2 linked regions of the Coturnix japonica genome follow. The protein of the gene in region 1 purifies or fractionates together with the protein of each later gene. This does not show direct contact. Links are inferred from orthologs where the notes say so. Each region holds a gene or a part of one and is shown in the gene's direction. Other genes may lie near its edges.

What was found. The genes of interacting proteins can lie anywhere in the genome.
Region 2: the proteins of RAB11FIP1 (region 1) and RAB11B purify together in Homo sapiens (affinity purification with mass spectrometry; 3 studies listed by BioGRID and IntAct, counting the BioPlex papers as one, with this or other methods). This does not show direct contact. The link is inferred for Coturnix japonica from reciprocal best matches to the Homo sapiens genes RAB11FIP1 and RAB11B.

What each region holds. Positions count from the first base shown.
Region 1 is NC_029537.1:3,593,883-3,597,908, reverse strand, and holds part of RAB11FIP1 (rab11 family-interacting protein 1), read left to right. Parts: coding exon 1-1,069; intron 1,070-1,656; coding exon 1,657-1,762; intron 1,763-2,825; coding exon 2,826-3,044; 3' UTR 3,045-4,026. UniProt on the Homo sapiens protein: A Rab11 effector protein involved in the endosomal recycling process. Also involved in controlling membrane trafficking along the phagocytic pathway and in phagocytosis. Interaction with RAB14 may function in the process of neurite formation.
Region 2 is NC_029543.1:321,668-326,445, reverse strand, and holds the start of RAB11B (ras-related protein Rab-11B), read left to right. Parts: upstream 1-1,618; 5' UTR 1,619-1,633; coding exon 1,634-1,848; intron 1,849-2,131; coding exon 2,132-2,325; intron 2,326-2,718; coding exon 2,719-2,799; intron 2,800-4,576; coding exon 4,577-4,722; 3' UTR 4,723-4,778. UniProt on the Homo sapiens protein: The small GTPases Rab are key regulators of intracellular membrane trafficking, from the formation of transport vesicles to their fusion with membranes.

The sequences.
Region 1 (4,026 bases):
AAAAGAGGAGGGAGGAGCATTCACCCACATCGGATCCCCAGGATGCTCCTCCTGATACAAATGAGTCATCTCCAGTAGGATCTGTGAACCCAGTTCACAGTGCTCACACACAGCCTCATCAGGAAGCTGCTGCAGGGAGAGCTGGCAGGGAGGGGGCTGTCACACCACAGCCTGCACCACGGCTGTCTTTAATGCAGGGATATCCCCGAGTTTCTCAGGCTGATGAGTTAAGTGTTGGGCCGTCAGGGGAGGGTGAGGGCTCTGCATCCGGCCTTGCTTTACAGAATGAGAAATCCCCTGGTGCTTTTGGGTGCCTCCCTCAGAATGGCTCAGTGACAGCTCTTGTCCCACCAGTAAAGCTTAGAGCTGACAGCAGTAGCAGACGTGTGAGAAAGGAAGGGGACGAGGATTTGTTTGATTCTCTTACAAATCTGAAGTCTGCCCTTTCAGTTACTGGAGATCACAACATGAGGCTGGCTGCCCTTCCTGCTATTCCTGAGGCAGGCTCTGATGATGAGCTGCAGGGTGACTGCCAGGAAAACCACGGCGTTGCTGCAGATGATCAGAACATTTCAGAGTCTGTAGGTAGAAAACCTTTGCATGAGAACCAGCAGGAGAGCTCTGATAGCTCTGCTGCAGGCGGAGTAACTCTGTCTGCAGGAGGAGGAAGTGCTGTGCCCGTGCTGCCTGCAGGAGGGCACGGCCATGAAGTCAGTAAGCAGGCACCTGACTCAGGTATGACGTCTCATTCCAGTGAGCACAGTAGTTGTTTTGAGAAGCAAGTAATAGATACTGGTGTTGGGGAGCGTGCAGAGAGTGACTTCTTTGAGCCTTCTGTTTCCTCTTCCTCCCTGTCGTGTTCTTCCCAGCCCTGCTCCTCCTCTCGCTCCCTCTCCTCTGACACCCCAAGTCAGAGAGCAGAGTCTCCGAAAAAGCCAACAGCAGAGGGCTTCGCTGATAAAGCAGGAAATTCTGGCAAGAAGAAGCTTCTTCAGGCATGGGTTTCACCCTCTGAAACGTACCCTAACCAAACTCAGCAGAGTGGTGAAACCATGTCTCCTAAGCACAGGTGAGAGAACATGGGAACTGCATCGAAGGTATCTCGGTGCTGAGAGCCTTGCTTTTGATGTGAGCTTTGTCTTTTCTTGCTCTGTTACAACCAGCACCACGAATCCTGAGCAGTTAAAACACCTTTTATGGCACAAAGTCAGATCAGATAAGTTGTACTACCTGTGTGTCCCAGTGTAGCAGAAGCATTTGGTATTTTGCAAGAACCACAAGTATGCTCTCATTAAGAACTCACTCACTGGTGCACAAAAGATGGCAATAACAGCTGGTATTACTGCCCTCTCCTGTGGGCTGACCTTGCTTTTCCTTTGTGATGTTGTTCAGGATATATTTCCCTTGTTACTCCTTTATCTCCAATGCCTTAAGTCAGTAAAGGCAGTAGAAAGAATAGAGTGCACTAAGAGAAGCCTGTAGCTGAGGCAGAGATTTCTTATCTTCCCAAAGGCAAATCTTTTATCTCTGGAGTGGGAGGGAGTGCGGAGAAGGACTTTTCCCCATTTTTTTTACTGTATTTGTTTTCACTCTGAAGATGTAACGCCAGTATTGTGTGTACTGCATGAATGACATGAGCCCTTTGTAATGTTACAGACTTCATCCTGTGAAGCCAATGAATACCACAGCAAATAAATCCCAAAGCAAAGACCTGAATGTCATCAGCACTATGAATGAGAAGCTGCTTGAGATGAACATAAAGGTAGGGTGGAGAGCAGCACTTCAAACTCAACTCCTGTACTTTGCTTAGGATCATGTCTCTTGTGTATCTCACGCAGGACTGTGCTTGTGCTCAGACCATGGGGACTGTGCAGTTTTCTTTCCTCCTTTCTTGGAGGTGGGGACATTCTTTATGATTTTCTTGCAACTCATCAATTATAGCATCAGAGCCTCCTGTTTGAGCAGGGGTTTCTGAGTGGAGGGGATGGAGGGCTGCAGCCTGACTGCCTAGAGGTGAGCAGGACATCCAGAGCTGTATCTCTGAGTGACATTGCTGTGCTGCCCTGGTCCTGCTTGTGACATGCAGGATCTGCATAACTTGGATCAGCAGGAAAGATTGGGCAAATTAATCACTGTTGATATGCAAACATCATTAGTCTGCGAAGCTTCTTTTTGCCCTGAAGTAAATTTGTGGATCTTAAAGATGGGGAAAAGGTATCCTTGGCATGTCTGCTGCCTTGTAATGTGTTGCATTAATATCCTCTGCTTCCTAAGAGCATCTCTTTGCAGCTTGTATAACCACTCAGATTTATAGTGTGGGTTATTTTACTGATAATCTTGGTCTCAGGAGACCTCTAAAGCTAATCCTGTGGTGCCTCCTTCTGGTACAAGTGGAAAAGAAGAAAGTTTTATTTAAATACTATTGACTGACATGTTAAAATGTTTGTCAAGTTTAAGAGCTAAAGGCAGAGTTATCAGACAAACTGTGCTGTGTGTTTGTGGTGGTAATCTGAAGAAGACTGAAACGCCTCAGGCCTATGTGAGGGTTTGTGCTGTTTAACCTGAATTTGACCTCCCTGGCTTTCAGCACTTTGGGTCTGAGCAGTCATAAAGCTTTAATGAGCAGCATTCCAAAATGCCATTTAGATTGAATGTAGCTCTACAAAGGTGGGAAGCACGGTAATACTTCTGAGGAGCAGCTGTGTGTTGGCAGATGGAAATGTAAAGCAGTTCCTCACTGCTTGAACTCCAAACCATCTCCTAGAGAGCATTCAGTTCTTGTCTGCAGTGCCCTCGTGTGAGGTGACCTTGCTTTTCTTTTGCAGAAATACAGTCCTTCAGATCCTGCCTACGCTTATGCTCAGCTCACACACGATGAGCTGATCCAGCTGGTCCTGAAACAGAAGGATACGATCACCAAGAAGGATCTCCAGGTGCGTGAGCTTGAAGACTACATCGATAACTTGCTTGTCAGAGTCATGGAAGAAACCCCAAACATTCTTCGTGTTTCAACTTCTGGAAACAGAAAAGCTGGAAAGATGTAGGAGCTCTCTGGACATCGAACAAAGGACTGAATTCCTGCCAGTAGAGTTTGATTAATAAGGAGACAATGTGAAGTAGGTGGTACTGCTGTGCTGCCTGCAGACAATGAGCTCTTTTCTCTTTCTGGCTTGAGCAGCCATCAGTTGGAGTAGTGCTTATATCAGCTCTTGGGTATGGAGCCCAGAAGTAGAGTCATTTACCATATTTATTTTTTTGGTCTTTTTCCATTATTTGGGAAGATTTGTTCAGGCATTGAATCCAAAGTCTGATTGCGATAGGAAGGATGAAGGGTTTGTTGTTGTTTTGTGTGTTTTCCTTGCCAGCAAAGCACTGCTGGTCCTTTGTTGAAGGTTTTTCATCGTTGCTTTTTAGCAGCTTTGATAGATCAGTTACTCATCTGTCTGCATCCCAAGTTGTAGTGCAATATAAAATCACTTACAGTAGAGCTTGAGGATTTGATTGCTTTTGCTTTTATCTTTTGACAACTACACTGGAGGAGTCCAAAGCTGAATGGTTCAGCACAGAGCTGTGTGGGCTGTATTTTAAAAGCAATTAATGTCCTGAAGCAGAATGCAAGTTAAACCTCAGACTGGAAAGGAAGAAGCAAAGTGAAATTAGTGATACAACATAAGCAAAGCAGTTCTCCAAGGGGAAGGTTTACATACAGGGTTTTAATCACAGATATCATGGGATGTTTGTCTACCATAGGAATAAGGAGTAGCAATGGATTTGGGCTGATGGTACATTGTTTGGAAGCTGTTCTCCTCTGGACTTAAATTCCTGATTCAAAGGTTGTTTGAACAGGGAAGACAAAGGTACAAACATCTGGATTCTGCCCAGCACTCCTGAATTGGATTTCACTGTATGCATTCATGGCCTGGGGCTCCTGTATGAAAGTTCTGTGACAATTTTAGTGTCATTCCATTGCAGTTTATTCCATGTAAGTGCCTTGAATTTTGGAGCAGCCTTCAAGGGCGATCAGGC
Region 2 (4,778 bases), on another chromosome or scaffold:
GAAGAATAAGAGCTTTCTTTTATGTTTGTGGAAAATCAGAGCGCGCCAATCAGAGCTGAAGCCCGATGGGGCGTTTGGTTATTGGAAACAAATGTTTGTCATATTGTTCATCAATATCTGGCAACCTCATGTACTGAATATTTATGATGAGCTGTGCTGGGAAGAGGCTTAATCCTCTTCATTGTGTGAAGGAATAGACTCCTTTTGACAGATAATTAACCGGTCTGTTTAAAATTCCACCATAAACCTGGTCTTGTGTTACCAGATCTGCAGTGCTTTGCAGTTGTTGGATGGGCAGCGTGGTGTGCACTGATGGGCACGGGGCAGAGCTGGAAGCAGGGGGGGCTGAAGGAGCAGCCCTGAATTCTGGCTGTAGGCTGGACATGGCACGTGCCTTGTGCTGCACTGCTCCACCTGATGCTGACTTGTTGGTTCGGGTCATTTCCAAGTGTTCCTTGCCTTTATTAGTGGGATCGAAGGCCGTGGAAGGGGTGTGATTTCATGTATTCTGATGGATGTAGTATGGATTTGGGCTCTTGCTTTTGGTTTGGGGCTTTCTTTTTCCATCTGCATTTGAACAGGCTGTATTGTTGAGTAACCCGTTCCCAAACTGAGGAATTTCCACAGTATCTGATTGCTTTGGTCCAGAAGCTTAAAGGCATCTTCCTGCTCTGTGCCCATAGAGGTACGTGGGTCTCCAGTCTTTGGATCTCCCTGCTAAAAGAGAAAGTCCTGACAGTTGATTGAGAGCAGCAAGAGGCTGATTGTAAGGTAGAGAGAGCACGAACTTGTTGCTGAGTTTGGATCAGGTTGCCTGCCTTTATTACTTCTGCATTCAGTAACATCTCAGAAATGCTCTGCCAGAGCATGGAGCAGCTGAAGGCACTGAAGGTACCTGGATTACAGGGGGTAATTAGCAAAGTGCAGCAGGACCGCCTGAATTCTCTTCCTGCAGCCAATGGATTAATGACCCAGGGTCTTTTTGCAGAGTTCATGCATGAAACTGGTCATCTTCACAGGCCAGAGGACAGACACGAGTACAACCTGGAGAGGCAGCTGTGCTTTCTCGAGCTGTGTGTTCATTAGGAGGGCAGAGCACTGCGTGGAGCTGGCTCCAGCTGTCCTGGGTGGGGAGAAGCGGGGTGGGAGCTGCCAAAGCTGGAGCCTGAAACAATGGCCTGAGCACAAAATAAAGCAAAGCTGAAATAACAGAGGGACCAGCCCAGTTCGTGGCCATGGGAGAATGCTGGTGAGCTAATTCAGAAAGCGTGCAGGGAGAGGTGTTCTCTAATCTGCTGTGCATGGATCGGGAGGGCCTAGAAATCTCTGAGCACTGATGTTTTCCTGTTAGCATGGCAACACCTTGTGCGGAGGCAGAGTTTCAGTCTTCTACTTCTCATCTAATCCACTGGAACTCGTTCTGTTGGGTGAAGTCCTGCTTTGTTTTCTGGCTTGTTTGTAGTATCAGATGTCTTCCTGTGGGGAGCACGGTGATGGCTGGAATAACTGCAGTAAATCCCACAGAAGGCTGGGCATGCAAGGGGCAGCTCGTCGCCCTTGTTACTGTGGGCCCTGCCTGAAGCAGCGCAGCAGCCAGGCAGCACAGTGCTGCTGTGGGGAGTTCATCTGGTAAATGATGTCCTGTCTTTCAGTGGTGCTGATTGGGGACTCCGGAGTGGGGAAGAGCAACCTGCTGTCCCGCTTCACCCGCAATGAGTTCAACCTGGAGAGCAAGAGCACCATCGGGGTGGAGTTTGCTACCAGGAGCATCCAAGTGGATGGGAAGACGATAAAGGCACAGATCTGGGATACTGCAGGGCAGGAGAGATACCGTGCCATTACTTCAGCGTGAGTACCGTGTCTTTCTTTGGGACTATGGCAGATACATCTCCGGGTAAGGACTGAATGAAATGCATTTGGATGGGACAGAATCCTTGTGGCAGGTCTTGCTGTAGATCCAGGTAATCAGGTAACAATATCATGCTATTTGATTAGTATTTGGAATTTGGAACTCATTTCTGGGGGATGGTTATTACACAAAGCATACAGAACTGCAGTACTTGCATCAGCGCAGCTTTCTGAATGGGTTTGTTGGACCTTTCTAAAGGAATGTGCCTTTGTGTTCTCCCAGGTATTACCGTGGTGCTGTGGGGGCCCTTCTTGTCTATGACATTGCCAAACATCTCACCTATGAGAACGTGGAGCGCTGGCTGAAGGAGCTGAGGGATCACGCAGACAACAACATCGTCATCATGCTGGTGGGCAATAAGAGCGACCTGCGCCACCTGAGGGCTGTGCCCACTGATGAGGCCCGTGCTTTTGCAGGTCGGTATGTGGGGCCTTCAGGTGCTTCTCAAGTTCAGTGTGCTGGTCACTCTACTGTCCAGTATTTAACTTTTGCCTTGTGCTTATTATTATGTGGGAAAAAAAAGGGGAATTGGAGGTTTCGTAGCTGGCTTGTTAAATAGTGGATGGTGTTTTTTCTTGTTGAATCTGTTGGTAGCACATGTTTGTAAAACAGCATCCTTGAGCTGCCCGATACCTGAAGCATAAACAGTTCCTCTGGGAAGGCTGAAAAACAGCAGGAAATGTTCAGAGGAGAAAATACCTCATATAGTGTCAAATATCACAATGCAGAGTGTCTGTCCTTCATTCCTAGAGGCCTGGTTCTATGGAGAGCATAGAGTTCCTAACTGAACCACTTGTTATTTATTACAGAAAAAAATAACCTGTCCTTTATTGAAACTTCTGCTCTGGATTCCACAAATGTAGAAGAAGCCTTCAAGAACATCCTTACAGGTATGGTTTGTTATGGGTTCTGTGGACCTACCACATAGTGAATCTTCTTCATGGGCACAGTTTGCAGTTATTGAGACTGTTTTGGAAATGAGTGTTGGGAATGATTATATGTCTGCAGTCTGCCTCCCCTTACCTCTGTTTTACCCCCACCCCATGCACCTTTTTCCCCACCCACACGCATGGGGAACTTTCTCTTTCCTTGAGAGTGATGTGGGCCCATTACCTGAGTTTTATGGTTCAATAGCTGAATTCTGGGAGGATAAACTATTTCTGTATTCTCACCCTCATGCACTGTTCTGTGGAGCTGTGCCTGATGTACACGTCCCACCACGTCTCCAGAAGGGCATTTCCTGAGCATTTTTTGTTTTTTGGTGACAAGATGCTGATTTAACTTAAATGAGAATGAGCCTTTGTTCTGGTACTGCTCGGTTGTCAGGAAGTGTCTGATGTATGCTGCTTGTTGGACGCTGACCAGAGAACTGGTTATTATTGCTGTGCCTTGATTATATGTGAATGAGAGCCTATTACTGGGGAAATGGCTGAGTTTTGACCTGGTGAATTCTTGAAGGCTCTTTCAGGTTTGTTTTGCAGAGTGTGGAGGTAAACAGGCAGGAGCTGTGGTGTCGGTCTGAGCAGCTCTGTGAGCACAGAGGTGTGTTACAGTTAAAGATGACCAAGAGGAGGTGGGCAGGAGGAAAAAAAAGGGTAGTCAAGCTGCTTCTATGAGTAAAAAAGCCTGATGGATGAAGAGTGGGTTACGTTCTGCTCCCCAGCAAGATTTGGGTTGAGCTGCTGGAGAAGTAACTGGAGAATACTGCTGCTGAGACAGAGCTGTAGAGAAGAGCAGCTGCAGCCTGAGCTCTTGTGCAGGGTGGCCTTGAGAGCAGGTGCTGCTTATCTGTGACACTTGGCTGGATCTGAGGTGACTCGTGTGCTGCTCTGAGATGGTATCGGTGGATTTAGTGCCCTGAGCGTGGCTCAGCCATCACCATCCATCCTGTCTTCCCTCGTTGTGTTGTTCTGAGCCTGACTCTGGGTACAGAAAATGGCCAGAGGTTTTTCTAGGAGAGTTCAGTGCTGCCTGTGTAACAGATGGAGCCAGAACTGGAGCTCCATCAAAACAAAAAAACCAAAGAGCCCAAACCCTACAATTCCCCACCATTTAAAACCCTTGTTAAAGGCTTTGGCTGTTCCTGTCCTGCGGCTGTGACTGCTTGAATGTGACCATAATATTTACTGCAGGCTTCCAGGGAGGTGCTTGCCCTTTTCCTGTCTCACAATGGAGGGAAGTTGGAATGAGGTCCTACAGTCAGCGCAATAGAAATATTTCCACTTATTTCTACTGGCGCTGCAGGTGGAATGGTTTCCTTCTGAAAGCTTCTAACCTGGACGCTGCCTTTAACAGCTGGGGTGAATCTGTGCTTTCAGGCATGAGTTATTTGGAGTCAATGAAATGAATTCTGTCGGGGATGGCATTTGCAGATCAATGTGGGGCTGCGTGGAACCTCATTTTTACTGCCACGGATGGGGAAACTGATTTGTAACGGAGAGGAGCGGGTGGTCCTGTACTTCAGTAGGGACGGCTCACCGGGAGCTGAAGGGTGAAACCTTTAGGTCTTCCAGGCAGAGCTGGAAAGCCACCCAGACGTTACACTGCACAGCTGGTTCCCTTTCACAGCTTGAATCTTCCCTCTCCTGGCAGCTCGCTCCGAGGTGAGCGCGTGCTGTGTTGCAGGGAACACCTTCCTGTGCCCCAACAGCTCTGTTCTCATTTCAGAAATCTACCGCATTGTCTCTCAGAAGCAGATCGCAGACCGGTCTGCGCACGATGAATCTCCTGGCAACAACGTAGTCGACATCAGCGTCCCACCAACCACCGACGGACAGAAATCCAACAAACTCCAGTGCTGTCAGAACCTGTGACCTCCCGTAGACGGCTCCGATGCTCCTCACTTCGTCTGTGCTTCATTTAGAAACTT